4 linked regions of the Anolis sagrei genome follow. The protein of the gene in region 4 interacts with the protein of the main gene of each other region in a pairwise test. Links are inferred from orthologs where the notes say so. Each region holds a gene or a part of one and is shown on either strand. Other genes may lie near its edges.

What was found.
Region 1: the proteins of UBE2W (region 4) and RNF26 interact in a two-hybrid assay, tested with the Homo sapiens proteins (2 studies listed by BioGRID and IntAct). The link is inferred for Anolis sagrei from reciprocal best matches to the Homo sapiens genes UBE2W and RNF26.
Region 2: the proteins of UBE2W (region 4) and MARCHF5 interact in binary tests that used the Homo sapiens proteins (3 or more experiments, as listed by UniProt). The link is inferred for Anolis sagrei from reciprocal best matches to the Homo sapiens genes UBE2W and MARCHF5.
Region 3: the proteins of UBE2W (region 4) and PSTPIP1 interact in binary tests that used the Homo sapiens proteins (3 or more experiments, as listed by UniProt). The two-hybrid records come from large-scale screens. The link is inferred for Anolis sagrei from reciprocal best matches to the Homo sapiens genes UBE2W and PSTPIP1.

What each region holds. Positions count from the first base shown.
Region 1 is NC_090027.1:39,268,375-39,276,083, forward strand, and holds the start of RNF26 (E3 ubiquitin-protein ligase RNF26), read right to left. Parts: upstream 3,015-7,709; 5' UTR 2,894-3,014; intron 416-2,893; 5' UTR 51-415; coding exon 1-50. UniProt on the Homo sapiens protein: E3 ubiquitin-protein ligase that plays a key role in endosome organization by retaining vesicles in the perinuclear cloud.
Region 2 is NC_090023.1:187,038,639-187,046,002, forward strand, and holds the start of MARCHF5 (E3 ubiquitin-protein ligase MARCHF5), read right to left. Parts: upstream 3,001-7,364; 5' UTR 2,843-3,000; coding exon 2,799-2,842; intron 1-2,798. UniProt on the Homo sapiens protein: Mitochondrial E3 ubiquitin-protein ligase that plays a crucial role in the control of mitochondrial morphology by acting as a positive regulator of mitochondrial fission and as an important regulator of immune response.
Region 3 is NC_090029.1:10,961,221-10,968,530, forward strand, and holds the start of PSTPIP1 (proline-serine-threonine phosphatase-interacting protein 1), read right to left. Parts: upstream 3,012-7,310; 5' UTR 2,585-3,011; coding exon 2,552-2,584; intron 1-2,551. UniProt on the Homo sapiens protein: Involved in regulation of the actin cytoskeleton. May regulate WAS actin-bundling activity. Bridges the interaction between ABL1 and PTPN18 leading to ABL1 dephosphorylation.
Region 4 is NC_090024.1:42,444,602-42,451,652, forward strand, and holds the start of UBE2W (ubiquitin-conjugating enzyme E2 W), read left to right. Parts: upstream 1-4,044; 5' UTR 4,045-4,242; coding exon 4,243-4,257; intron 4,258-7,051. UniProt on the Homo sapiens protein: Accepts ubiquitin from the E1 complex and catalyzes its covalent attachment to other proteins.

The sequences.
Region 1 (7,709 bases), on a different chromosome or scaffold from region 4:
ATGTCCAAAATCATCGCCATGCCATTGATGATCAGGAACACTAGCTCCATAGCTGAGGTGAAAAGGAAGAGACGCTGCAAGGAGGAAGACGAAGCAGATTGTAGACTGGAGTGAGTTGTGCTGATTCCCAAAAGACAGGTGAACAGAGTCCTATCTTTGATAGTTTTTAATGAAAAGAAATCCTTTGGCAATGAATTCGAAAATGTCAGGAGCCCAGAGAAGACCTTTATATCCTTGGTATAATCTAGTTTTTATTTCAGGAGATGCTCCAGAAGGTGTCAGGCATCCATGCTGCTTGAAGTTTTGATCCTTTATTCGTGACGTAACAGGAATGAATACTTTGGATAGCTAAAACGGTGAGTCCCAGGCCTTTTTTTGCTGCTGATCTTGCCATTCCCAAGAGCCACAGCAGTCACTAAAGAGAAAAGGAAGTGAGTTAAGTAGCTGTTTGTGGACTGGAGTAAGTGGCACTGGTTATCAAAGGCAGGTGAATGGAGTCCTTTCTATCTTAGCTATGGAAAGCCCCTTGTTCTTTTTACAAGAAATCCTTTGGAGATGAATACAGGGAGCATACAACTCCCATGTTACACCAGCTCCACTGGCTGTCAGTTTGCTACTGGGCACAGTTCAAAGTGCTGGCTTTGGCCTATAAAGCCCTAAACGGCCCTGGTCCAAATTACCTGTCCGAACGCATCTCCCCCTATGAATCATCACAGAGATTAAGATCCTCCGGGGAGGCCCTGCTTTCCGTCCCGCCATTGTCAGAGGCATGATTGGTGGGGACACGAGACATGGCCTTCTCGGTGATTTCTCCCCAGCTATGGAACTCCCTTCCTGGTGAGATCATGAAGAAGCAAAGCAGACACAGCGTCATGCTCTGAACTTCCAGACCTAGGTATCATACTATTACTGGATAAGGTTTAGGGTAAGGTTAAGGGTTAGGGTTTGGGTAAGGATTATGGTAAGGGGTTTAGCTTAGGGTAAGGTTTAGGGGTTAGGTTCACGGTAAGGGTTAGGGTTCGGGTAAGAGTTTTACCGTTACATTCCTTCTATAATATCTGTCTCAGTGACATGTTCTGTCCACGTTGCACAAACAGCGCTCCCAAAGGAGCGACGCGGACACAGTGTAATGCGCCGAGCTTCCAGACCAAGCTATCATACTATTACCTAAAGGCACTCTGTACAGTCATGCTGGCCACATGACCTTGGATGTGTCTACGGACAATGCTGGTTCTTAGAAATGGAGATGAGCACCAACCCCCAGAGTGGGCCATGACTGGACTTAATGTCAGGGAAAACCCTTCCCTTTACCTATTTGCTCTCACTTTTGGCAAAAACTGTAAGGCTGAAAGGCCTGTGACTAACTCTCTGCCCCTGAGTGTGGTGGAGGCTCCTTCTTTGGAAGCTTTTAAACAGAGGCTGGATGGCCATCTGTCAGGAGTGCTTTGAATGCAATATTCCTGCTTCTTGGCAAGGGGTTGGACTGTATGGCCCATGAGGTCTCTTCCAACTCTAGGATTCTGTTCTGCGTTGCACAAACAGCGCTCCTGAAGGAGCGAAGCGGACACAGTGTAATGCGCCAAGCTTCCAGATCCAGCTATCATACTATTACCTAACAGCATTCCATACCGTCTGGCCACATCAACTTGGAGGTGTCTACAGACAATGCTGGTTCTTCGGCTTATATATATTTATATTATATTTACTTCATTTGTATACCGCTCTTCTCAGCCCTTAGGCAACTCAAAGCAGTTAACAACCAATTCAATATACACAATACAAAATCATTAGACATCTAAAAGCAGTAGCATAACAATTAATTAACCCCAACATCAACATCAATACATCAGTACATCAACATAACTAATCCATCACGTCTCATCAATAGAATCAGAATCCGATCTCGTTGTCCATTGTTCCATGTTTCAATAATTGATCAATTGCACTGCTTAGTTGAATGCCTGTTCGAAGAGCCAGGTCTTCACTCTTCTCCGGAACGTCAGTAGGGAGGGGGCCGATCTAATATCTGTTGGAAGGTTGTTCCACAGCCGAGGGGCCACCACTGAGAAGGCCCTGTCTCTCGTCCCCGCCAGACATGCTTGTGAAGCCGGCGGGATTGAGAGCAGGGCCTCCCCAGACGATCTTAATGTCCTAGCTGGGAGATGCGTTCGGACAGGTAGGTCGGGCCAGAACCGTTTAGGGCTTTAAAGGCTAAAGCTAGAACTTTGAATTGTGCCCGGTAGCAAATTGGCAGCCAGTGGAGCTGGCGCAACAGAGGAGTTGTATGCTCCCTGAGTGCCGCTCCTGTTAGCATCCTAGCTGCCGATCGTTGGACCATTTGAAGATTCCAAGCAATCTTCAGAGGCAACCCCACATAGAGAGCATTGCAGTAGTCTATACGAGATGTAACCAGAGCGTGGACTACCGTGGCCAAGTCAGACTTCCCAAGGTATGGGCGCAGCTGGCGCACAAGTTTTAATTGTGCGAATGCTCCCCTGGTCACTGCTGAAACCTAGGGCTGAGAGATGGAGATGAGCACCAACTCCCAGAGTGGGCCATGACTGGACTTAATGTCAGGGAAAACCTTTCTTTTTACCTATTTGCTCTCACTTTTGGCCAAAACAATAAAGCTGAACTGCCTGTGAGTTCCTGGCGAGGCTTGATGGAAGAAGCAAGCCTGGGCATGTCCCTTGGGAGCCTGAAGGAGGCCTCGGGGTCCCTAATTAACGCTTCCAATGAGTTCATTTGGGGTGTGGGGGAGGGGACAGTCCCTCAGGCCTCCCCTTCCCCCAAGAGGGACCTCTTTAAGGTCAGTTGGAGCCAGAAAAGCAAGGGAAAGGGGGCTTCCCCTCCCACCCCCTTCCCCTTCCCCACAAACAAGGCCTTGGCCCACCTCGCCCGCTTCCCTCTGAGGCGAAGAACTTGGACTAACCCCCTCGACGGCGAAGCTCTTCCCTCCTCGCTCATGGGCGCCGACATCTTGGTAGGCGGGGTCGCGCCCTTCCCCGCCCTCCAATCAGCGTCGGGGAATTCCAATTCACCCTCCCTCCTAGTCAGGTAAGGAGGAGGCACGTCCTCCAATCAGAATCGGGGAATCCTGTAGGCGGGACTCGCGTCGCCTCCTCATCCAATGAGCATCGGGAATCCCCGTAGGCGGGGCTTTCGTAATTTGTTGATTCCCGCTTTCATCCAATCAGCATCGGGGAATCCTGGAGGCGGGGCGTCCTTCAAACTCGACTTGTTATTCGTTCGCTTCTTGTCGCTGGCAAGGTTGTTTTCCTTTGGTTTTGTTTCCGTCCTCTGATTGGCCGGTTTTGAAAAAGGCTCGTGGGCGGTTGCCTTGGCACCGAGGGTGGGCGGGGTTGATTGGAAACCCCGCCCACTACTGAGTCCTCATAGACTCGAAAGGTTTGACCGTTAGAGCCGTTAGTCGGTCACGTGATTATGAGTGGGCGGGGCCTCCGTTCTGTCTCATTTTCTACACATAAATAATAATAATAATAATAATAATAATAATAATATAATTAAACAAAAAATTACTTAAACAAAATTAAATTAAAATCCAGCATATACATCTCGTTTGCTGTGTCATAATGTGGTTTTGTGTCAGTAAAAATAATTAAAATAATAATAATAAAGACTAATAATAAAGAATAATACTAATAAATAATAGAATAATAAAATAAAGCAAATAATATTACTTCTAATAAATAATCCTAATAATATATAATTAATATAATTAAGAATAATATTAATACTAATTAATAATAAAATATAATACTAATATAATGATAAACTATAACAATAGTAAATAATAATATTACTAATTATATATAATTAAAGTAATACTATAATTAATAATAATAAATAAAAATAAAATATAATGCATAATAATACTAATACAATAATAATAATAATAGTAAATAATATTAAGAATAAGTAATCTTAATAAACAATAATATATATAAAATTAATAAAAATTAATAAATAATATAATTAAGAATAATAAATATGTATACTAATTAATAATGAAATATAATTCATAAGAATACTAATAAATATTAAGAATAAGTAATCTTAATAAATAATAATATATACAATTAATAAATAATAATATAATATAATTAAGAATAATAAATATGTATACTAATTAATAATGAAATATAATTCATAAGAATACTAATAAATATTATTAAGAATAAGTAATCTTAATAAATAATAATATATAAAAGTAATAAATAATAATATAATATAATTAAGAATAATAAATATGGAGACTAATTAATAATGAAATATAATTCATAAGAATACTAATAATGGAATAATAATAAAATATAATAATACTAAATAATAATATTACTACTAATTATATATAATTAAAATAAATACTATAATTATTAATAATAAATAAAAATACAAATTAATAATAAAATATAATGCATAAAATACTTAGAATAATAATAAAATATAATAATAGTAAATAATATTAAGAATAAATAATCTTAATAAACAATAATATATATAAAATTAATAAAAATAAATAATAATATAATTAAGGAGAATAAATATGGATACTAATTAGTAATGAAATATAATTCATAAGAATACTAAGAATAATAATAAAATATAATAATAGTAAATAATAATATTAAGAATAAGTAATCTTAATAAACAATAATATATATAAAATTAATAAAAATTAATAATAATAGAATTAAAATTAATAAATATAGATACTAATTAATAAAAAATATAATTCATAAAGATAGCAATAATAGAATAATAATAAAATATAATAATAGTAAATAATAAATCTTAATAAACAATAATATATATAAAATTTATAAAATAAATAAATAATAATATAATTAAGAATAATAAATATGTATACTAATTAATAATGAAATATAATTCATAAGAATACTAATAACTGAATAATAATAAAATGTAATAATAGTAAATAATATTCCTAATAAGTAAGAATACTAATAAATAATAATAATAATAAATACAAAAATAATAGAATAATAATAAAATATAGTAATAGTAAGTATTACTAAAAATAATTAAGAATACAAATAAAAATATAAATAATAATACAATAATAAAATGAATACTAAATAATAAAATATAAATAATAATATGTTCTTCATTCGTTCAGTCGTCTCCGACCTCATGGACCAGCCCACGCCAGAGCTCCTTGTCAGCCGTCACCACCCCCAGCTCCTTCAAGGTCAGTCAAGTCACTTCAAGGATGACATCCATCCATCTTGCCCTTGGTCGGCCCCTCTTCCTTTTGCCTTCCACTTTCCCCAGCATAATTGTCTTCTCTAGGCTTTCCTGTCTCCTCATGATGTGGCCAAAGGACTTCAACTTTGTCTCTAGTCTCCTTCCCTCCAGTGAGCAGACGGGCTTTATTTCCTGGAGGATGGACTGGTTGGATCTTCTCGCAGTCCAAGGCACTCTCAGAACTTTCCTCCAACACCACAGCTCAAAAGCATCGATCTTCCTTCGCTCAGCCTTCCCTAAGGTCCAGCTCTCACATCCGTAGGTGACTACAGGGAATACCATGGCTTTGACTAGGCAATGGATCTTTGTTGCCAGTCTGATGTCTCTGCTCTTTACTATTTTATCGAGACTGGACATTGCTCTCCTTCCAAGAAGGAAGTGTCTCCTGATTTCCTGGCCACAGTCTGCATCTGCAGTCATCTTTGCGCCTAGAAATACAAAGTCTGTCACGGCCTCCACATTTTCTCCCTCTATTTTCCAGTTGTCAATCATTCATGTGGCCATAATCTTGGGTTTTTTTGATGTTTACCTGCAACCCAGCTTTTACGCTTTCTTCTTTCACCTTGATTAGAAGGCTCCTCAGCTCCTCCTCGCTTTTGGCCATCAGAGTGGTGTCATCTGCATATCTGAGTTTGTTGGTGTTTCTTCCAGCCATTTTCACCCCAGCTTTGCATTCATCCAGCCCCGCACATCCTCGCATGATGTGTTCTGCATACAAGTTGAAAAGGTTGGGTGAGAGTATGCAGCCTTGCCGTAATATACTGTAATATAAATACTAAAAATATAATAGTACAACAAAAATATTACTAATAATTAGTAATACTAATAATAAATTATATTACTCTTAATAAAATAGAATTAATAATAATAATAATAAATCAGAATACTGATAAATAATAATACATTATTTATTACTTTTATTATTTTTTATTATTATAAATTGTATTTATTTCCCGCCTCTCCAGGTAACTCCAGGATGAACCCGTTTTGGGATGAAAGTTTACAATGGTGCACTCTGCCCTCTTTGCATGCACATCCGTGAGGCCGAAACACCTATATCTCCTATTTACCTCCCATAGAGATCCCTCTGAGATACGCCTGAGTCTGGAATTGAGGTGGTATGTTTTTGTTAAATGTCTGTTTTGGCAGATACATTCATAAACCGTGTTCTGACGCGTCTTCCGTTAAACCCGCAGGGCGATTCGATCAAAGAGCGCAAAGGTCTCCTTTACGGGAGGAAAACTACAACTTCTGGTCCGGGAAGAATCCAAACATGTTCAAGGCTGAGTTGTAAAAAGGCACAACAAGAGCAATATATTGGTTTATGCTTTGCATCTATAACTTCTTCATCTTCCTTGTTTGTTTCTTGTTCTCCACTTGTTCTTATCAGTCGCGTCTCTCGTTGTGAGTCTTGCTTGGGCCATGTTCCGTTTCAAGCGGTCGAACCAGCGCATTTTAGGTCTGCCACGTGGCCTGGCACCTGCAACTTCCATATTCTGCAAGGTTTTGGCCTCGTCCCTTTGTTGCACATGTCCAAACCATCTCAGGTGGGATTCCTTCATCTTCTCACCAAACAGATCAACTCCAAAGATGGAGCGCATTGTATCATTCGGAATCCTGTACTTCAGGGTAACACCCGTTGACCATCCGAGCATCTGCATTGCCACAGTGTGCAGAACTTACTTGACAGCCTTCGTGGTCGGCCAGCACTCAGTGGCGTATAGAGTGACCAGTCTCACCACAATCCTGTAGATTTTCAACTTTAGATGAATTGGGATCTTCTTATCCCACATTACGTCTGTCGTTCCTCTCCACTTCATGTGACATTTGCATGTCCGTGGCATCTGCCAGTATGTCACCAGCAGAAGTGATCTTTGAGCTGAGGTATTTAAAGCTGGTCACATTGTTGAAGCCAATGCCATCGATATTGATGGAGCCATTCTCTATCATTGGTCCACATTCCATAGAATCATAGAATCAAAAAGTTGGAAGAGACCTCGTGGGCCATCCAGTCCAAACCCCTGCCAAGAAGCAGGAATAATCCTAGTCTCCAGGGAAGCAGAAAACCAGCTTGCTCCCTCCTCCCTAGGACTTCCTCTCACATATTTATACATGGCTATCATATCTCCTCTCAGCCTTCTTTTCTTCAGGCTAAACATGCCCAGCTCCTTAAGCCGCTCCTCATAGAGATCCAGGAGAACCAACAAGGACACACTTCCTCCATCTAGCTCTCTGAGTAGGTCATCCACCAAGGCGACCAAAGCTGTCTCTGTTTCATAGCCAGGCCTGAAACCAGATTGAAATGGCTGTAGATAATCCATATCATCCCAAAATCCTTGGAGTTGGGAGACCACCACATGCTCCAAGACCTGACTCAGGAGGAGGAGGTTGGACACTGGGAAGTATAGGTGATCAACAGC
Region 2 (7,364 bases), on a different chromosome or scaffold from region 4:
TAGTTCACCTATAATCAAAGAGCATTCTGAACTCCATCAATGATGGAATTGAACCAAACTTGGCAAATAGAACTCTCATGACCAACAGAAAACATTAGAAGGGTTTGGTGGGCACTGACCTTGAGTTTTGGAGTTGTAGTTCACCCATATCTAGAGAGCACTGTGGACTCAAATAATGATGGATCTGGACCAAACTTGGCACGAATACTCCATATGCCAAAATATAAACACAGATGAAGTTTGGGAGAAATAGACCTTGACATTTGGGATTAGTAGTTGCTGGGATTTATAGTTCACCTACAATCAAAGAGCATTCTGAACTCCACCAACTACTGCATTGGGGCAAACTTCCCACACAGAACTCCCAAGACCAACAGAAAATATTTAAGGCCATCCAGTCCAACTTCCTTTACCAGGGCAAGAAAAAATAATCAAAGCCCTCCTGACAAAGAGCCATCCATTCATAGATATAGAGAGATATATATGACTCACACACACACACAAATATAGTATCATAGATTTGAAAGGAACCTCTAAAGAAGGACAATTATATGTTGAATGTTCCAGAGGAGACAAACAGACAATCTCCACATCAACACTGACAAAGAAACAGCAAGAAATACTGTTTACCCAACAAGCATAAAGAAATTACATATATTAGAAACCAACACTTCCTCATTACTTTATTTACCAGATCAACAAACTGGGCCACAGCAACGCATGCAGGGGACAGCTAGCATATATTGTTGTTGTTCATTCATTCAGTTGTCCCCGACTCTTCGTGACCTCATGGACCAGCCCACGCCAGAGCTCCCTGTCAGCCGTCACCACCCCCAGCTCCTTCAAGGTCAGTCCAGTCACTTCAAGGATGCCATCCATCCATCTTGCCCTTGGTCGGCCCCTCTTCCTTTTACCTTACACTTTCCCCAGCATAATTGTCTTCTCCAGACTTTGCTGTCTCCTCATGATGTGGCCAAAGTACTTCAACTTTGTCTCTAGTATCCTTCCCTCCAATGAGCAGCCGGGCTTTATTTCCTGGAAGATGGACTGGTTGGATCTTTTCGCTGTCCAAGGCACTCTCAGAACTTTACTCCAACACCACAGTTCAAAAGCATCTATCTTCCTTCGCTCAGCCTTCCCTAAGGTCCAGCTCTCATATCCGTAGGTTACTACAGGGAATACCATGGCTTTGACTATGCGGATCTTTGTTGCCAGTGTGATCCTGGACTCACCGCTGAGCCTGGAACCCCAGGTCTCGGCGGTGGCCGGGAGAGCTTTTGTGCAATTAAAACTTGTGCACCAGTTGCGCCCATACCTTGGGAAGTCTGATCTGGCCACGGTGATCCACGCTCTTGTTACATCCCGAATAGACTACTGCAACGCTCTCTACGTGGGGTTGCCCTTGAAGACTGTTCGGAAACTTCAACTAGTCCAGCGAGCGGCAGCCAGACTGCTCACCGGAGCGACATACAGGGAGCATACCACCCCCATCCTGTGTCAGCTCCACTGGCTGCCGGTCCAGTTCCGAGCACAATTCAAGGTCCTGGTTTTGACCTACAAAACCCTGTACGGTTCCGGTCCAGTGTATCTGTCCGAACGTATCTCCCTCTACGTCCAACCCCGGAGTCTGAGATCATCTGGGGAGGCCCTGCTCTCGACACCACCACTGTCACAAGTGAGTCTGGTGGGGATGAGGAGCAGGGCTTTCTCAGTGGTGGCCCCTCACCTGTGGAACTCACTCCCGGGGGAAATCAGGGCATCATCATCCCTCCTCTCCTTCAGGAGGAGGGTGAAGACGTGGTTATGGGACCAGGCCTTTGGGCAATCTGGCAATTAAATAAGACAATCAGGCGAGTAAGACCAACAGGATTGACGAAGTGGAACTGAAAATTAGAACTATGAGTTAGCGAACACTGACCATGTAGGAGAAGGAATTGGGTTTGTATTGCTTTTATTGATTTTATTGGTATAATGCATGAATTGTTGTTAACTGTGAATTGATGTAATTTTGTGTTTTGATTGTTCTGTGATGCAGGCATCAAATTGTGCCTTTGCTTTTGTAAGCCGCCCTGAGTCCCCTTCGGGGGTGAGAAGGGCGGGGTAAAAGAACCCCGAAATAAATAAAAAAAATGTCTCTACTCTTCACTATTTTATCGAGATTGGACATTGCTCTCCTCCCAAGAAGTAAGCGTCTTCTGATTTCCTGGCCACAGTCTGCATCTGCAGCAATCTTTGCGCCTAGAAATACAAAGTCTGTCACGGCCTCCACATTTTCTTCCTCTATTTTCCATATATATATATATATAAGCTAGCATATATATATATATATATATATATATATATATGAATCTCACTTGCCTACTTTCCAACAGACTTCACGACCTCTGAAGATACCTGCCATAGATGGCACTACCAGGCCATCAAATGCTAATCAAGGTGGTCAGTTGAAACATTCACACCTAGCTCCAATAGACAAGAGTTCTTTGTCCCACCCTGGTCATTTCACAGATATATAAATCCATTTTCCTAGTTCCAACAGACCTCACTACCTCTGAGGATGCTTGCCATAGATGCAGGCGAAACGTCAGGAGAGAATGCTTCTGGAGCATGGCCATACAGCCCGGAAAACTCACAACATCCTGGTTGGGTAGATTATTGAGGGAATCTCCAACCTTCCAGTCAGCAAGATTTCTTAATTGTGTCCCCAAAGGCTCCAGTCGTCCCGGTGTCTATGGCGCCCACCCTCCTCCTCCTCCACCACCACCACCAAGGCCGCCTCTCCCCCTTCGCTTTATTACCTGTCCAGGCTCTGCGGCATCACCAAGCCCGTCTGTTCCGACATCCTGAGGTGGCGAGGGGAGAGGGGGACAAGGCCCCAACCGCCGGCGCGAGGAGGGAGACACAAGGTGAGCACGGGGGCCCCTCGAAAATAACACCCGAGGAGGAGGACGACGCAGGGCCTAAGAGGGAGCCACTGCGCATGCGCCGGCGCTTACCTCACAGAGGGACGGACTCCCCGCGGCGCCTCGGGTCCCGACTTCTCCTCCTCCCTCATTCACTCACTCCAGCGAGGTACCGCCCCCCTCCCTCTCTCCCGAGGCACTATGGGAAATGTAGTTCCCGTCGCGAGTGTGCCCTGAGGGGATTTAAATCCCCCTCCCCTCTTCCCTCCTCCTGCTCTCGCGCTTCACCGTTGGGCTGTTCCGTTCAGCCGCCACCCCCCCCTCCCCTCCCCTGCGCGAGACGGCTTTGTTTATGTGTCTTTAATGGGAGGAGGAGGAGGAGGCGGCGAGATGGCCACGCGCGCTGAGGGAAAGGTCAGCCCCCTGGGCCGCTGTCACTTTGGGGGAGGGGAGGGGAGGGAAGGGGGTAGTTCGTTCCTCACTCGTTCCTTGTCGTTACTGTGAGGGGCGGGAAAGGAGGGTGGGGGCCTCGTAGGCAGCCCTTCTTTGGCACCCTCAAGCAGGAGGCGAGGGTGAGGCGCTCCTGGAGGGTTGCTAGATATAGCTGTTGTTCTCTAGATTGATTATTTATTTATTATTTATTTAGATTTATTTAGATTGATATTATTATTGATATTATTATTTATTTAGATTGATACCCTGCTTTCTGTCTTCTTCATTCCATTCTCATTCTCTTTGCTTGGACTCCACTTTCTCTCCTTTTCATTTCATTATTATATTCATTATTTGCATTATTATATTATTATATTTATTTATTTGGGGCGCTTCTACCCCACCCTTCTCAACCCCCTAGGGGGGACTCAGGGCGGCTTACAAAAGGCACAATTCGATGCCCAACAATTCACAAAATACAATACAATATACAATACACAAATTTGCCATATAATGTCAGTTATAACTAATTAAAACAATCAAACAGTATACTAGCAGCAATAAAAACATCTTGTGGTCAATGTTCACCAAATCCAAGTCCGTAAACCATCTATCATCGTCATTGTCCTTTCCTACTCTGGTCATTATTGGTTGTCTTTGTCCATCTGCCAGCTTACCTGAAGGCCTGGTCCCACATCCAGGTTTTTAGCTTCCTTCTGAAGGAGAGAAGGGATGTTGATGTCCTAATTTCCCCAGGGAGCGCATTCCACAGGCGAGGAGCCACCACCGAGAAGGCCCTGTCCAGGCCCGTAGCCAGGATTTCGTTTGGGGGGGGGGCTGAGTCTGAGTGAAAGAGGGTCTAGCCTAGCAAACCTTTTGTATCATTACCCCAATACCCCCATGCATATGGGATATATTGAGTATGGTGATAAGATCATGATATGAATAAACATAACAGTTTAAATAATGCACCAGTAAGGCCTTTTCGCGAACCACCATGAGAATTTCGGGGGGGGGGGGGCTGAAGCCCCCCGAGCCCCCCCCCCCCCCGGCTACATGCCTGGCCCTGTCCCTCGTCCCCACCAGTCTTGCATGTGATAAAGGTGGGGCCGAGAGCAGAGCCCCCTCAGCAGATCTTAAACTCCGGGGTGGGACATAGAAGGAGATATGTTCGGACAGGTACACTGGGGCGGAGCCATATAGGGTTTTGTAAGTCTAAACCAGCACTTTGAATTGTGCTCGGAATTGGATCGGCAGCCAGCGGAGCTGACATAGGAGGTGGGTGGTATGCTCCATGTATGACACTCCGGTGAGTAATCTAGCCGCCGCCCATTGGACTAATTGAAGTTTCTGAACAGTCTTCAAAGGCAACCCCACGTAGAGCACGTTGCAGTAATCTATTCAGGATGTAACAAGACAATTATTAATTTAATTGTCATTATAATTATTTGGGCTCTTTCCCCCCTCCTTTTAATTCCACTATTATATTTATTATTTGTATTACTATTATATTTAGTATATGTATTATTATATTTATGACTAGCCGTCCCCCTGCCACGTGTTGCTGTGGCCCAGTTTATATATAATAATAATAATAATAATAATAATAATAATAATAATGTATTGTCGAAGGCTTTCATGACCAGAATCACTGGGCTGTTGTGGGTTTTTTCGGGCTATATGGCCATGTTCTAGAGGCATTCTCTCCTGACGTTTCACCTGCATCTATGGCAAGCATCCTCAGAGGTTGTGAGGTCTACACTGTGGTTTTTGAGTTATGCTAATCCCACAAACGAACATTACATTTTTAATTATATTGATTATTATTAATGCCATTGTCATTATATTTACTAGTACTCCAAATCCCCTCTTTTAAAGTCCATTATTATATTTATTATTTGCATTATTATTATTATTATTATTATATTAATTTAATTGTCATATTTATTTGGACTCTTCATTCACTCCTTTTATTTCTATTATTATATTTATTATTTGTATTAGTATTGTATTCAGTATATGTATTATTAATGCCATTGTCATTATACTTGCAAGTACTCCAAATTCTCTCTTTTAAAGTCCATTATCATATTTATTATTTGCATTATAATTATATTACTATTATTATTAATTTAATTGTCATTATATTTATTTGGACTCTTCTTTTTCTCCTTTCAATTCTATTATTATTATTATTATTATTATTATTATTATTATATTTGTTTACTCCACTTTCCCTCCTTTTAATTCTATTATTAGCTATATTATTTATATTTTTATTATTATATTTATTATTAATTCTATTATCATATTTATTTGGACTCTTCTTTTATTCCTTTTGATTATATTATTATTATTATTATTATTTGAAACAGAATAAGATGAGTCCACAGCAGACAAGATCACTCTGCTGGTTGTTGCATTGGATCACGCACCGGACACTTCCCAATTGTCTAGGACTGTGTGATGTATTGGCAAATAATGTGTGCAGATCCCAGTAAGGTGGCCTTCTGCAGCTGACAGATGGTAATTTTGTCAGCGCCGATTGTGTTTAAGTGCAGACCAAAATCTTTAGGCACTGCACCCAGTGTGCCGATCATATTACTATTACTATTACTATTATTATTATTATTATTATTATTATTATTTGTTCTCCGCTTTCCCTTCTTTTAATTCCATTATTATTTTTACGTTTATTTCTACTCTGCTTTCCCTCCTTTTCATTGCATTATTATTGTTAGTATTATATTTATTACTACTACTACTACTACTATTAGTACTAGTAGTACTGCCCTTTATCTCTTCTTAATTCCATTATTATCATATTTATTTATTTAGTTTGCTTTCCAACCCAAAATTGGGACTCACTACAGTGGAGATTTATGGTCTCTGAGGAGCCCTCTCTCCTCCCTTTCCTAACTTCCGCACTGTTACATATATGCCTGCCTGCCTTCCTTCCTATCATTATTATTATCTTTATCATTACTATTACCTCCTTTGCCCCTCCCACAAACTGGGACTCAATTATTTCACTGTAGTGGTTATCTCACTGTAGTGGTTATCTCACTGTAGTGGATATTTATGGTAGGTGGAGATCCTTCTTCCCACCCTTTCCTGCCAAAAAGTACACCCGATGATGATGATGATGATGATGATGATGATGATGATGATGATGATGATATATTTCATTCATCCCCAAATTGGGACTCAAAACAACTGTCTCTTTGTAGTGGAGGTTTATAGTCACTGAAGATCCTTCTCCTTTCTCTTTTCTGCCTCCACTGCTGGTACAGATATACCTCTTTTTCATATTTATTATTATATTTATACCCCACGTTCACCCCCTAAATTAGGACTCATAGTGACTGTCTCACTATATCTGAGATTTATAGTCACCGAGGATCCTTCTCCATTCCCTTCCCTGTCTTCCATGCTGTTACAGGTGCACATTTTCTTAAATTCCATTATTACAGTCTTTGTCTCCTTCTCCATATCCTTCTCCCCTCCCCTACAAAAAATTGGGACTCATAGAGGGTGTTACACTACAGTGGAGATTTATGGTTGCTAAAAACCCTTCTTCCCTTCCTTGTCTGCCTTGTTACAGATGCACTTCTTTTTACATCTGTTATAATTATATTACTATATTTTTATTCTGCTTTCACCCAATTTGGGACTCAACAGTGGCCATCTCACTTGTAGTGGAGATGTATCATCACTGGAGATCCTTTTCCTCTCCCTTGCCTGTCTTCACACTGTTACAGGGGTGCCTCTCATTGTTGTTGATGATGTTGTTATTATCATTTTGCATTCCGCTTTCCTCCCAAAATTGTTACTTAAAGTAGCTATACCACTGTAGTGAAGATTAAAGGTCACTGGAGATACATCTCCCTTCTCTCCCCCCCCCCCCCCCTTTCTGCTGTTACAGGTGTGTCTCATTTTTTATTGATTTTTAGTATTAGATTTATTTATATCCCAGAAATTGGGAGTCAAAGAGTCTATCTCACTATTGTGGAGATTGATGGTCAATGG
Region 3 (7,310 bases), on a different chromosome or scaffold from region 4:
TGCAGTTTGACGCCACTTTTGAAATAAGAGCATTGCATTCAGTCCAAATTGGGTGGAAAGCACTACCAGCTGTGAGACAAACCACTGCCTTTGTTCCTGGAAGGGCTTTGGTTGGAAAAAGAGAAGTTCTCAATTAACCGCAGAAGGAACAGAGGAAATATAACACGCCAAGACCCTGCCGAACTGCAACTCCCAGGATCCCATCGCATTGAGCCATTGCAATTAAACTGTATTCGTTTTGCAGTGCAAATGCACCCAAAAAGTACCCCAAAAAGGCCCTCCAATGATACCCTAAGAAGAGTGAGATTCTCTTAGGAGCAGATCAGGTTCTCCTTTAGGAAAATAATAAGTTGAAAGAAAAACCCAACGATTCCACTCATTGGAAGTTACAAAGAGCCGCAAGCCAAACCTACTATTGCCTTTGCCATTCCCAGCACGGAGACGAACCCAGCAGAGAAGGATCCAGCTTGAAGTTGCTGCAAAAAATGTGAATTTCTGCCTTCGGATGCATCATCCCAACCATTACGCTCCGACTGATTCACCCGTTTCACACCAGATTAAGCCCAATGTCAGATTTTCCCAGGGAAATATCATTGTGTCTTGGAATAGGAAGCGGCGTTAGTCTGAATCAGGCATTTTGATGGTGCATCTACACCAGGCATGAGCAAACTTGGGCCCTCCAGGTGTTTTGGACTACAACTCCCACCATTCCTAACCACCTCAGGCCCCCTCCTTTTCACCCTCAGCCGCTTAAGCGTTCAGTTCTAGCAAGTCGAAAGAAATTATTATATAGTAAATAGTTGAGTGTACTCAATGTTCAGTTCTACCAAGCCGAAAAAAATTATAATTATTATATAGAAAATAGTTGAGTGTACTCAACGCTCGGTTCTACCAAGCCGATAATAATAATAATAATAATAATTATTATTATTATTATTATTATTATATAGTAAATAGTTGAGTGCACTCATTGTTCAGTTCTACCAAGCTGATAATAATAATTATTATAATAATAATATAGTAAATAGATGAGTGCACTCAATGTTCAGTTCTACCAAGCCAATAATAATAATAATAATAATTATTATTATTATTATTTTAATATAGTAAATAGTTGAGTGCACTCAATGTTTGTTTATTTATTTACTTTATTTATATACCGCTTTTCTCAGCCCTCAGGTGACTCAAAGCAAATGTTCAGTTCTACCAAGCTGAAAATAATAATAATAATATAGTAAATAGTTTAGTGTACTCAAAGTTCAGTTCTACCAAGCCAATAATAATAATAATAATAATAATAATAATAGGCTTGGTAGAACTGAACTTTGAGTACACTAAACTATTTACTATATAATAATAATAATAATAATAATTATTATTATTATTATTATTATTATTATTATTATTTTCAGCTTGGTAGAACTGAACATTCGCTTTGAGTCACCTGAGGGCTGAGAAAAGCGGTATAGTAGTAAATAATTTGAGTGCACTCAATGTTCAGTTCTACCAAGCCAATAATAATAATAATAATAATAATTATTATTATTATTATTATTATTATATAATCAATAGTAGAGTGCACTCAATGTTCAGTTCTACCAAGCCAATAATAATAATAATAATAATAATAATAATAATAATAATAGGCTTGGTAGAACTGAACTTTGAGTACACTAAACTATTTACTATATAATAATAATAATTATTATTATTATTATTATTTTCAGCTTGGTAGAACTGAACATTGAGTGTACTCAGTTATTTACTATATAATAATTTTTTTTCTTGGCTTGGTAGAACTGGGGTGCACTCAGCTATTTACTATATAATAATAATAATAATAATAATAATTATTATTATTATTATTGGCTTGGTAGAACTGAACACTGAGTGCACTCAATTATTTACTACTATACTGCTTTTCTCAGCCCTCAGGTGACTCAAAGCGAATGTTCAGTTCTACCAAGCCGAAAATAATAATAATAATAATTATTATTATAATTATGTAGTAAATAGTTGAGTGCACTCCAGTTCTACCAAGCCAAGAAAAAAATTATTATATAGTAAATAACTGAGTACACTCAATGTTCAGTTTACCAAGCCAATAATAATAATAATAATATAATCAATAGTTGAGTGCACTCAATGTTCAGTTCTACCAAGCCAATAATAATAATAATAATAATTATTATTATTATTATTATTATTATATAATCAATAGTTGAGTGCACTCAATGTTCAGTTCTACCAAGCCGAGAAAAAAAAAGTAAATAACTGAGTGCACTCAATGTTCAGTTCTACCAAGTTGAAAGAAATTATTATTATATAGTAAATAGTTGAATGTACTCAATGTTCAGTTCTACCGAGCCAAAATAATAATAGTAATAGTAGTAATAATAATAGTAGTAGCCAGTTTATACAGTAAATAGTTCATTGCACTCAATGTTGAGTGCGACTCAACCAAAATAATTGTGGCGACAGGTGCCAGGCACTTATTAGACATAATAAAAGTGTTGCGTCTTCTTCTCGATGGCAAGGCATGGGCGCTTACCCAAAAGACATCCTTAAACTGCAGGTGTGCCATGACGAGGAAGGCAGTCCAAAACGGTGCCAAAGGCGTCCGAATAACAGGCACTTTGTTCCAAGCCGAAAAGGAAAATTTTCTTCTTCTTGACAAAGTGCAAAAACGGTTCCCTGGGAGGAAGTTTGTGGCGACGTTTATGTCTCCGAAGGGGGGAGCAGACGACACCCCAAAAGCCTCACCCGCGAGGTCTTCTTTTCCTCTTGCGTTCCACTTTTCGCTCCACCCCTCTTCTTTTCATTTCTGGCAAGCGACGAATATATATATATAATAACGCAATGAGGAAGCCGAAAGAGAAAAAAAAGTTGTCAGTATGCAAAGCAGAGGCTTTTGTGTTTTGTGGGTTACCTTTTAGAAAGTACAGAAAAAGAGAGACACACAACGACAAACGGTTGGAACAAAACCAAACTTGGATTTTGGACCAAAATCTTGGTCCTTGTGTTGTTTATATATTTTTGCCTATCTTATATATGTATATATATGTATGTATGTATATATTGCTAGGCCCAAATCATGTACACACAGGAAGCGGAGCTGCGGTCTTGCCGGCTCAGCGATTGCTGCAAGAACGGAAGGGTTTTCCAACCTCGAAACAGAGGAAATGCATCATTTTTTGCAAATGCACCGGGCTGACATTGAACTGAACATGAATGGAACGAGAAGGGAGCGCACTGCACCACCGGAATACTAATGTGAGCAAAGGCGCACAACAACTAGCACAATGGAGGCCTTGCTTTGGGAGGCCTCGGGCCAGAAATGTTGACATTCAGAGCATGGGATCCCAAGCAGGCTGCGGCCTCCAATGTCTTGGCTCGCTTGAAGCCGCGGGTGATGATGAGCAGTGAAGCTGCAATTCAACGTACATTAATGCGGGTTGATGCCACTTTGGACTGCCGTGGCACAAAGCTACAAAATCCTGGGAGTTGTCCTTGGGGGCCGCATTAACACTCTATCCCAGAGAAGATGAAAGCCCTTGCAAAACTACATCTCCCAGGATCTGACAGCATTGAGAGTGGGAGATGACAAAGGGTTTAATTCTAGTACAGATGGAAGAGGAGCAACAAGCCTCTGTGCTGCTGTCTCTCCTTCCTCCGTTTCCCTCATATACCTCTTCTTTCTTTCCTATCTCTTCCCTTCCTTCCTTCCTTCCTTCCTTCCTTCCTTCCTTCCTTCCTTCCTTCCTTCCTTCCTTCCTCCTTTCTCTTTCCTTCCTCCCCCTTTTTTCTTCCTTCCATCCCTTTTTCTTTCCTTTCTTCCTCCCTCCCTTCACCTCGTATACATATGTCGTATTTCTTTCCCGGTGACTTCACAGAGGGCCACTTCACCTAGCAACAGCTGATCCAGTGATCTCAGAGGGCCACACTAGCCATTCCAGTGGCCTCATAGAAGGTCACTCCACCTAGCAACAGCCGATCCAGTGGCCTCACAAAGGGCCGTTTCACCTATCAACAGCTGAACCAGTAGCCTCACAGAGGGCCACTCAAGCCGATGCAGTGGCATCACAGAGGGCAACTTCACCTAGCAACAGCTGATCCAGTAACCTCATGGAGGGCCACTCTAGCTGATCCAGTAGCCTCAAAAAGGACCACTTCACATAGCAACAGCTAATCCAGTGGCCTCACAGAGGGCTACTTCACTTAGCAATAGCTGATCCAATGGCCTCACAGAGGGCCACTCTAGCTGATGCAGTGGCCTCAAAAAGGGCCACTTCACCTAGCAACAGCTGATCCAGCGACCTCACAGAGGGCCACTTTACTTATCAACAGCCAATCCAGCAACCTCACAGAGGGCCACACTAGCTGATGCAGTGGCCTCCAAAAGGGCCACTTCACCTAGCAACAGCTAATCCAGTGGTTTCACAGAGGGTCACTCTGATGCAGTGGCCTCAAAAATGGCCACTTCACCTAGCAGCAGCCGATCCAACGACCTCACAGAGGGCCATTCTAGCCAATCCAGTGGCCTCACAGAGGACCACTTCACCTAGCAACAGCTGATCCAGTGGCCTCACAGAGGGCCACTCTAGCTGATGCAGTGGTCTCAAAAAGGGCCACTTCACCTAGTAACAGCCAATCCAATGACCTCATGGTGGGCCATTCTAGCTGATGCAGTGGCCTCAAAAAGGGCCACTTCACCTAGTAACAGCCAATCCAATGACCTCATGGTGGGCCATTCTAGCTGATGCAGTGGCCTCAAAAAGGGCCACTTCACCTAGTAACAGCCAATCCAATGACCTCATGGTGGGCCATTCTAGCTGATGCAGTGGCCTCAAAAAGGGCCACTTCACCTAGCAACAGCTGATCCAGTGGCCTCACAGAGGGCCACTCTAGCTGATGCAGTGGCCTCAAAAAGGGCCACTTCACCTAGCAACAGCCGATCTAGCGACCTCACGGAGGGCCACTCTGATGCAGTGGCCTCAAAAAGGGCCACTTCACCTAGTAACAGCCAATGACCTCACAGAGGGCCACTCTAGCTGATGCAGTGGCCTCAAAAAGGGCCACCATCTAGCAACAGCCGATCCAATGGCTTCAGAGGGCCCACTTCATCTAGCAACAGCTGATCCAACGACCTCATGGAGGGCCACTTTGATGCCGTGGCCTCAAAAAGGGCCACTTCACCTAGTAACAGCAATGACCTCACGGAGGGCCACTCTAGCTGATGCAGTGGCCTCAAAAAGGGCCACTTCACCTAGCAACAGCCAATACAGCGACCTCATGGAGGGCCACTCTGATGAAGTGGCCTCAAAAAGGGCCACTTCACCTAGTAACAGCCAATGACCTCACAGAGGGCCACTCTAGCCGATCCAGTGGCCTCACAGAGGACCACTTCACCTAGCAACAGCCGATCCAGCGACCTCACGGAGGGCCACTCTAGCTGATGCAGTGGCCTCAAAAAGGGCCACTTCACCTAGCAACAGCCCATCCAGCGACCTCACGGAGGGCCACTCTGATGCAGTGGCCTCAAAAAGGGCCACTTCACCTAGCAACAGCCCATCCAGCGACCTCACGGAGGGCCACTCTAATGCAGTGGCCTCAAAAAGGGCCACTTCACCTAGTAACAGCCAATGACCTCACGGAGGGCCACTCTAGCTGATGCAGTGGCCTCAAAAAGGGCCACTTCACCTAGCAACAGCCGATCCAGCGACCTCAGAGGGCCACACTAGCTGATGCAGTGGCCTCCAAAAGGGCCACTTCACCTAGCAACAGCCCATCCAGCGACCTCACGGAGGGCCACTCTAATGCAGTGGCCTCAAAAAGGGCCACTTCACCTAGCAACAGCTGATCCAGTGGCCTCACAGAGGGCCACTCTAGCTGATGCAGTGGCCTCAAAAAGGGCCACTTCACCTAGCAACAGCCGATCTAGCGACCTCACGGAGGGCCACTCTGATGCAGTGGCCTCAAAAAGGGCCACTTCACCTAGTAACAGCCAATGACCTCACAGAGGGCCACTCTAGCTGATGCAGTGGCCTCAAAAAGGGCCACCATCTAGCAACAGCCGATCCAATGGCTTCAGAGGGCCCACTTCATCTAGCAACAGCTGATCCAACGACCTCATGGAGGGCCACTTTGATGCCGTGGCCTCAAAAAGGGCCACTTCACCTAGTAACAGCAATGACCTCACGGAGGGCCACTCTAGCTGATGCAGTGGCCTCAAAAAGGGCCACTTCACCTAGCAACAGCCAATACAGCGACCTCATGGAGGGCCACTCTGATGAAGTGGCCTCAAAAAGGGCCACTTCACCTAGTAACAGCCAATGACCTCACAGAGGGCCACTCTAGCCGATCCAGTGGCCTCACAGAGGACCACTTCACCTAGCAACAGCCGATCCAGCGACCTCACGGAGGGCCACTCTAGCTGATGCAGTGGCCTCAAAAAGGGCCACTTCACCTAGCAACAGCCCATCCAGCGACCTCACGGAGGGCCACTCTGATGCAGTGGCCTCAAAAAGGGCCACTTCACCTAGCAACAGCCCATCCAGCGACCTCACGGAGGGCCACTCTAATGCAGTGGCCTCAAAAAGGGCCACTTCACCTAGTAACAGCCAATGACCTCACGGAGGGCCACTCTAGCTGATGCAGTGGCCTCAAAAAGGGCCACTTCACCTAGCAACAGCCGATCCAGCGACCTCAGAGGGCCACACTAGCTGATGCAGTGGCCTCCAAAAGGGCCACTTCACCTAGCAACAGCCCATCCAGCGACCTCACGGAGGGCCACTCTAATGCAGTGGCCTCAAAAAGGGCCACTTCACCTAGTAACAGCCAATGACCTCACGGAGGGCCACTCTAGCTGATGCAGTGGCCTCAAAAAGGGCCACTTCACCTAGCAACAGCCGATCCAGCGACCTCAGAGGGCCACACTAGCTGATGCAGTGGCCTCCAAAAGGGCCACTTCACCTAGCAACAGCCCATCCAGCGACCTCACGGAGGGCCACTCTGATGCAGTGGCCTCAAAAAGGGCCACTTCACTTAGCAACAGCCAATCCAACGACCTCACAGAGGGCCACTCTAGCCAATCCAGTGGCCTCACAGAGGACCACTTCACCTAGCAACAGCTGATCCAGTGGCCTCACAGAGGGCCACTCTAGCTGATGCAGTCGCCTCAAAAAGGGCCACTTCACCTAGCAACAGCCCATCCAGCGACCTCACGGAGGGCCACTCTGATGCAGTGGCCTCAAAAAGGGCCACTTCACCTAGTAACAGCCAATGACCTCACGGAGGGCCACTCTAGCCAA
Region 4 (7,051 bases):
TTGAATAAATGGGTCTGTGCTAGTTGGCACTGACAGTTGGATTAGGCCAAATGTCACCATCTGCTACATGGCCTAGATCCCAGGTCTTATCACACATGGGCTTATTTTCCTTCCAATTTACCACACACGCCTTAAAGATCATGCAAAGGTTTTGTTTTTTGTTTTTTCTTCTTCTGTATGTTGAAAGGCACAGGTTGACTGCCCCTTATCTGAAATACTTGGGACTGGAAGTGTTTTGGCACAGGTTGACTGCCCTTATCTGAAATACTTGGGACTGGAAGTGTTTTGAATTTCCGGTATCTGTATTTGCATACATTTACATAATGCCAAATCCTGGAAATGGAACTGATGTCTAAACCTGAAATTCATTGTTTCATATATAGATAGCCTGAAGGCAATTTTAACTCAAACGGATGCAGTTTGACACTACTCTAACTGCTATGGTTCAATGCTAAGGAATCATGAGAATTGTAGTTTATAATTGCCTTTAGCCTCTGTCAAAGTGTATTGATGACTTACCAAACACGCAGAATTCCATAGTATTGAATAAATCATGTTAAATTGGTGTCAACCTGCATTAAATTTACAGTAGATCAGGCATGGGCCAACTTGGGCCTTCCCTCCAGGGTTTTGGACTTCAACTCCCACAATTCCTAACAGCCTACTGGCTCATGCCTGATTTACACAGTAGAATGCATGCAGTTTAGCACCACTTTTAAATGCCAGGTCTCGATGCTATGGAATTCTGGGAGTTGTAGTTTAGTCCTCTGTCAAATAGCACTGATGCCTCACCAGGCTACATACAGACAGCTCTACAGCATTGAGTCATGGCAGTTAAAGTAGTATCAAACAATCCTACAATGTACTATGGACATACTTCTCCTTATGAACTATCTGGGACATTAAGATCTTCCTCACAGATGCCTTTGGTAGGGACGAGAGACAGGGCCTTCTCAGTGGTGGCCTCTCAGCTGCAGAACGCCCTTCCCAGGGATATAAGATCGCCCCCCTCCCTTCTGACTTTTTGAAGAAAGGTTAAAACCTGGCGTTTTGAAAAGGCCTTCGCTATTCCAGCATAATTATACGAAACCATGGAATGACCTGACGATGCAATTGAATAATGATTTTGACAAGGAGACACTCACAATGATGTTTTTTATGGCTTTGTACGGTTTTTTAAATATTTTATGCTAAATGTTTTTAACAGTATTTTATGATTGTTTTACTTGTTTATAATTATTGAGGCATCAAATGCTGCCAGCTGTGAACCGCCCAGAGTCGCCTCCGGGCTGAGAAGGGCGGTATACCAATATGGTAAATAAATACTTCTTCATCACACTAGAGAGAAAAAATCCACTTAAAATCCGGTTTCTGCCTCCTGCAGAATTCTGGGGTTTGTATTTTAGTGATGCTCCTCGTGTTCTTTTTTTTCTGCATTTTCCTGCATTTCATGATGTTCATTTTTTCTGCATTTCAGAAAAAAATGAAATGTAAAGATACAGAATGGAGGACGTGTGGCTCGAGAGCAGTACATGTTAAAAAGATCTCGGGGTCTTCATGAACAAGTTAAACATGAGCCAACAATGTGATGCGGCGGCAAAAAAACCAACGAGATTTTGGCCTGCATCAATAAGAGTATAGTGTCTAGATGCAGGGAAATCATGCTACCCCTCTATTCTGCCTTGGTTAGACCACAGCTGGAATATTGTGTCCAATTCAGGGCACCACAATTGAAGAGAGATATTGACAAGCTGGAATGTGTCTGGAGGAGGGCGACTAAAATGATCAAGGGTCTGGAGAACAAGCCCTATGAGGAGTGGCTTAAAGAGCTGAGCATGTTTAGCCTGAAGAAGAGAAGGCTGAGAGGAGACATGATAGCCATGTATAAATATGTCAGAAGAAGTCATAGGGAAGAGGGAGCAAGTTTGTTTTCTGCTACCCTGGGGTCTAGGGCGCAGAAAAAAGGCTTCAAACTACAAGAAAGGAGATTCCATCTGAACATTAGGAAGAACTTCCTGGCTGTGAGAGCTGTTCAGCAGTGGAACTCTGCCCCGGAGTGTGGTGGAGGCTCCTTCTTTAGAAGCTTTTAAACTGGGGCTGGATAGCTATCTGTCGGGGGTGCTTTGAATGCAATTTTCCTGCTTCTTGGCAGGGGGTTGGCCTGGATGGCCCATGAGGTCTCTTCCAACTCTATGATTCTAACCCCAGAGTTCTACAGGAGGCAGAAACTGGATTTTAAGTGGATTTTTTCGCTAGTGTGATGAGGCCCACCTTGAGCATCGCTTTGACAGGCACACAGCTCCGTATATATTTTTAGGAAGGAGCAGAGAAAAGCAAAGGAGGCAGTAGTGTCAATTAAGTAATAGTAGGTGCAACTCGTAGGGATGAGGGAAGCAGGTGCAACTCGTGGGGACGAGGGAGAGGGCATTTTCTGTGGTGGCCTCTCGACTCTGGAACTCGCTCCCCAAAGATATTAGGCAAGCCCCCTCATTGGCAGTCTTTAGGAGCTTGTTCCAATATGCCTTCCCTGAATGAAAGATTAATAATACCCTGATCTGACCAATTCTCTGCAAAATGTCCTCTGAAGCACTTTATTCTACTTTTTGGGGCAATTGACCCCACCCTACCCTCTAAAACCCGTTCAGACTCATTTCACTGCTGTCACACCCAGTGTTTTAAATTTTTAGTAGAATTGGCCCTGCCCACAGTGCTGGATCATTGTTTTTTTAAATGTTGTGTTTTATTGCTGATATGTTATTTATAATGGTTTTGTATTGTATTGTATTTTTTATTGCTGTGTTTGTTTATAGTGATTTATTGTATTGTCGGGCTTGGCCCCATGTAAGCCGGCCCAAGGCCCCTTGGGGAGATGGTGGCGGGGTATAAATAAAGTTTTATTATTTTACTGACACAAAAGCACAGTATGTCACAGCAAACGAGATCTATATGCTGGATTTCGTATCAAAAATCACAAGTTGAACACTTCCCAAGCGTCTAGGACTGTGTGATGTATTTTTGAATGATGCACACACATCCAAGTAAGGTGGCCTTTTGCAGTTGACAGATTGTGATTTTGTCGATGTTTATTGTTTCCAAATGCCGGCTGAGATCTTTTGGCACGGCACCCAGTGCGCCAATGACCATTGGGACCACTTTTATTGGTTTATGCCAGAGCCTTTGCGATTCGATTTTGAGGTCTTGATAACGGCTGAGTTTTTCCTGTTGTTTTTCCTCAATGCGGCTGTCACACGGTATGTCAACCGCTAGGCCTGTAGCCAGGATTTCGTTTGGGGGGGGGGGCTGAATTTTTTTCAGGGGGCGTTTCGGGGGGGGGTGAGTTTCGGGGGGGCTGAGTCTGAGTGAAAGAGGGTCTAGCCTAGCAAACCTTTTGTATCATTACCCCAATACCCTCATGCATATGGGATATATTGAGTATGGTGATCAGACCATAATATGAATAAACATAACTGTTTAAATAATGCACCAGTAAGGCCTTTTCGCGAACCACTGTGAGAATTTCGGGGGGGGGGGGGAGTTGAAGCCCTTCAAGCCCCCCCCCCTCCCCCTCCCCCTCCCCCGGCTACATGCCTGTCAACCTCAATAATCCAGACTTTTTTCTTTTCCACAATCGTGATGTCTGGTGGATTGTGTTCCAAAACTTTGTCAGTCTGGATTCAAGAATCCCACAGTATTTTTGCATGTTCATTTTCCACGACCTTATGATCCCACCAATTCTTTACTGCTGGCAGGTGGTACTTGTGACATAAGTTCCAGTGAATCATCTGGGCCACAGAGTTGTGCCTTTGTTTGTAGTCCGTCTGTGCAATTTTCTTGCCACAGCTGAGGATAAGGTCCATGGTTTCACCAGCTTCCTTGCACAGTCTGCTTTATTATTATTGTTGTTGTAGTAGAAGAAGAAAAAGTTCATTGTAAGGAAAATAAAAGCGGCGTGAAGTCACAATGGCCAGGTTTCCCATTGGAACCTTCTACCTGGAGCCTTCCGCGGCAGCTCTCCCATGCGCATGCGCGGCTTCCCGGGGAATGGCCGGAGGGCCCACGTGACCAGGCCGGGGAAAGGTGGGGGCCGGCAGTGGAGGGAGCCGGCGCTCTTGCCGCCTCCTCCTCCTCCTCCGCCGCCGCCGCTCTGCGTCTCTCTCGCTCTCTCTCTCTCTCTGAGCTTGCCTCTCTTGTGGGCCCGTCCGGCGGCGCAGAGAGGGGAGGGGGCGGGGAGGCGGATCCATCATGGCGTCTATGCAGGTGAGCAGCCTCCGGCGTCTCTTTCGTCCCCAGGTGGCCCTTTGGCGTTGGGAGGGAACGGCGTGTGTGAGGGGAACTTCGCCTGGCAGGAGAAACCATCCCCATCACCCCCCCTCCTCCCATTCGTGGTCCCGTCCTCCTCGAGTCGGATGAGGCGGACGATCCCACTTTGCCCTGCTTGAGGGGGGGAAGAGACATCGCTTAAAGAACCCCCTTTAGTCTCCTCTCCCCCCCCCTCCATCTTTTCCTTTTTGGTCTCTTCCTCCTTCAAGCGAATGAGGCGGACGGTCCCACTCTCCCCTTCTTTGGGGGTGGCTCTCTCCAGGTGGAGCGGGGAGAACAGGTGCTGCCTTTGGGAAGGGCCTTCTGGGCTGTGACAGATCCCTTCCTCGCCTCTCCTTCGCTGTGGGCGTTTTCTCCACACTGGAGTAGCCAACGTCGGGCTTTTAGGAAAGGAGGAAAAAGTGAGAGTTTGGGTCGAAAGGACGAGGCGGAAGCGGGCTCACTCCCAAGCCAGGAAGTGTGGAAAGTCATCTCGGCGTCCTTCTCCTCCCATTCTTTCAATACATTAGTCATGGTGTTGTATATGTTCTGAGAGTAGGAGTGGCCCAGCACTGCCAGGGACCAACCTTTTGGGCTTGGATTTGTTCTTACCTGCTGCCTACTGGTCTTCTAGTGCTTTTAAGGCCTTTGAGGTGACAATATTTAGTCAACAATGGCTTCTTAAACCATTTAAGGCAGGCATGGGCAAACTTGGACCCTCCAGGTGTTTTGGACTTCAACTCCTACCATTCCTAACAGCTTCAGACCCTTTCCTTTCTCCCCTCAGCCGCTTAAGTTACAAACATCCAACTTATTATATTATATTATTGACAATATTGGTCAACAATGGCTTCTTAAACCATTTAAGGCAGGCATGCGCAAACTTGGGCCTTCCCAAGTATTTTGGACTTCAGTTCCCACCATTCCTAACAGCTTCAGGCCCTTTCCTTTTCCCCTTCAGCCACTTATTATATTGTTGACAGTATTGGTCAACAATGGCTTCTTAAACCATTTAAGGCAGGCATGGGCAAACTTGGACACTCCAGGCGTTTTGGACTTCAATTCCCACCATTCCTAACAGCCTCAAGCCCTTTCCTTTCCCCCCTCAGCCGCTTATTATATTATATTGTTGACAATATTGGTCAACAATGGCTTCTTAACCCATTTAAGGCAGGCATGGGCAAACTTGGGCCCTCCAAATATTTTGGATTTCAACTCCCACTATTCCTAACAGCCTCAGGCCCTTTCCTTTTCCCCCTCAGCCACTTATTATATGTATTATATTGTTGACCATATTGGTCAACAATGGCTTCTTAACCCATTTAAGACAGGCATGGGCAAACTTGGGCCCTCCAAATATTTTGGATTTCAACTCCCACCATTCCTAACAGCCTCAGGCCCTTTCCTTTCCCCCCTCAGCCACTTATTATATTATATTGTTGACAATATTGGTCAACAATGGCTTCTTAAACCATTTAAGGCAGTCATGGGCAAACTTGGGCCCTCCAAGTATTTTGAACTTCAACTCCCACCATTCCTAACAGCCTCAGGCCCTTTCCTTTTCCCCCTCAGCCACTTATTATATTATATTGTTGACACTATTGGTCAACAATGGCTTCTTAAACCATTTAAAGCAGGCTTGGGCAAACTTGGGCCTTCCAGGTGTTTTGGACTTCAACTCCCACCATTCCTAACAGCTTCAGGCCCTTTCCTTTCCCCCCTCAGCTGCTTATTATATTATATTGTTGACAGTATTGGTCAACAATGGCTTCTTAAACCATTTAAGGCAGTCATGGGCAAACTTGGACCCTCCAGGCATTTTGGACTTCAACTCCCACCATTCCTAACAGCCTCAGGCCCTTTCCTTTCCCCCCTCAGCCGCTTATTATATTATATTGTTGACAGTATTGGTTAACAATGGCTTCTTAAACCATTTAAGGCAGGCATGGGCTAACTTGGGCCCTCCAAGTATTTTGGGCTTAAACTCCCACCATTCCTAGCAGCCTCAGGCCCCTTCCTTTTCCCCTCAGCTGCTTAAGTTACAAACATCCAACTTACAAATGACTCATAGTTAAGAACAGGGGTGAGACAAGAGGAAGTGAGAGAAAACTACCCCTTGGAAGGAAAATTCACTCCAGAAAGAGTTATGATGAGGAAAAGGTGCCTCCACTGAAGTTTTACCACCAATCCTTGTTTCCACAAAAGCCAAATTTTTCAAAATCCGATTATCACAAGGACAGAAAGTGAGGTGAAATCTTCTGAACAGGGGCACAGAAAGTGAAATAAACACCACAGGGTGTTTACCCTTCACTAAGCTACCCAAAGCGCGCGCCCCTCTCTATATATGATCGAATCCTAGAGTTGGAAGAGACCTCATGGGCCATCCAGTCCAACCCCCTACCAAGAAGTAGGAAAATCTCATTCAAAGCACCCCTGACAGATGGCCATCAAGCCTCTGCTTAAAAGCCTCCAAAGAAGGAGCCTTCACCACACTCCAGGGCAGAGAGCCCCACTACTAAACATCTCTCACAGTCAGGAAGTTCTTCCTAATGTCAGGTGGAATCTCCTTTCCTTAGTTTGAAGCCATTGTTCCACATCCTGGTCTCCAGGGCAGCAGTAAACAAGATATAGATATATAGAGAGGGAGAAAGAGAGAGCTGGAGATACACTTAAAAATGAACCTTTTCCAACTTACATACAAATTCAACTTAAGAAAAAACATACAGAACCTATCTTGTTCGTAACTTGGGGA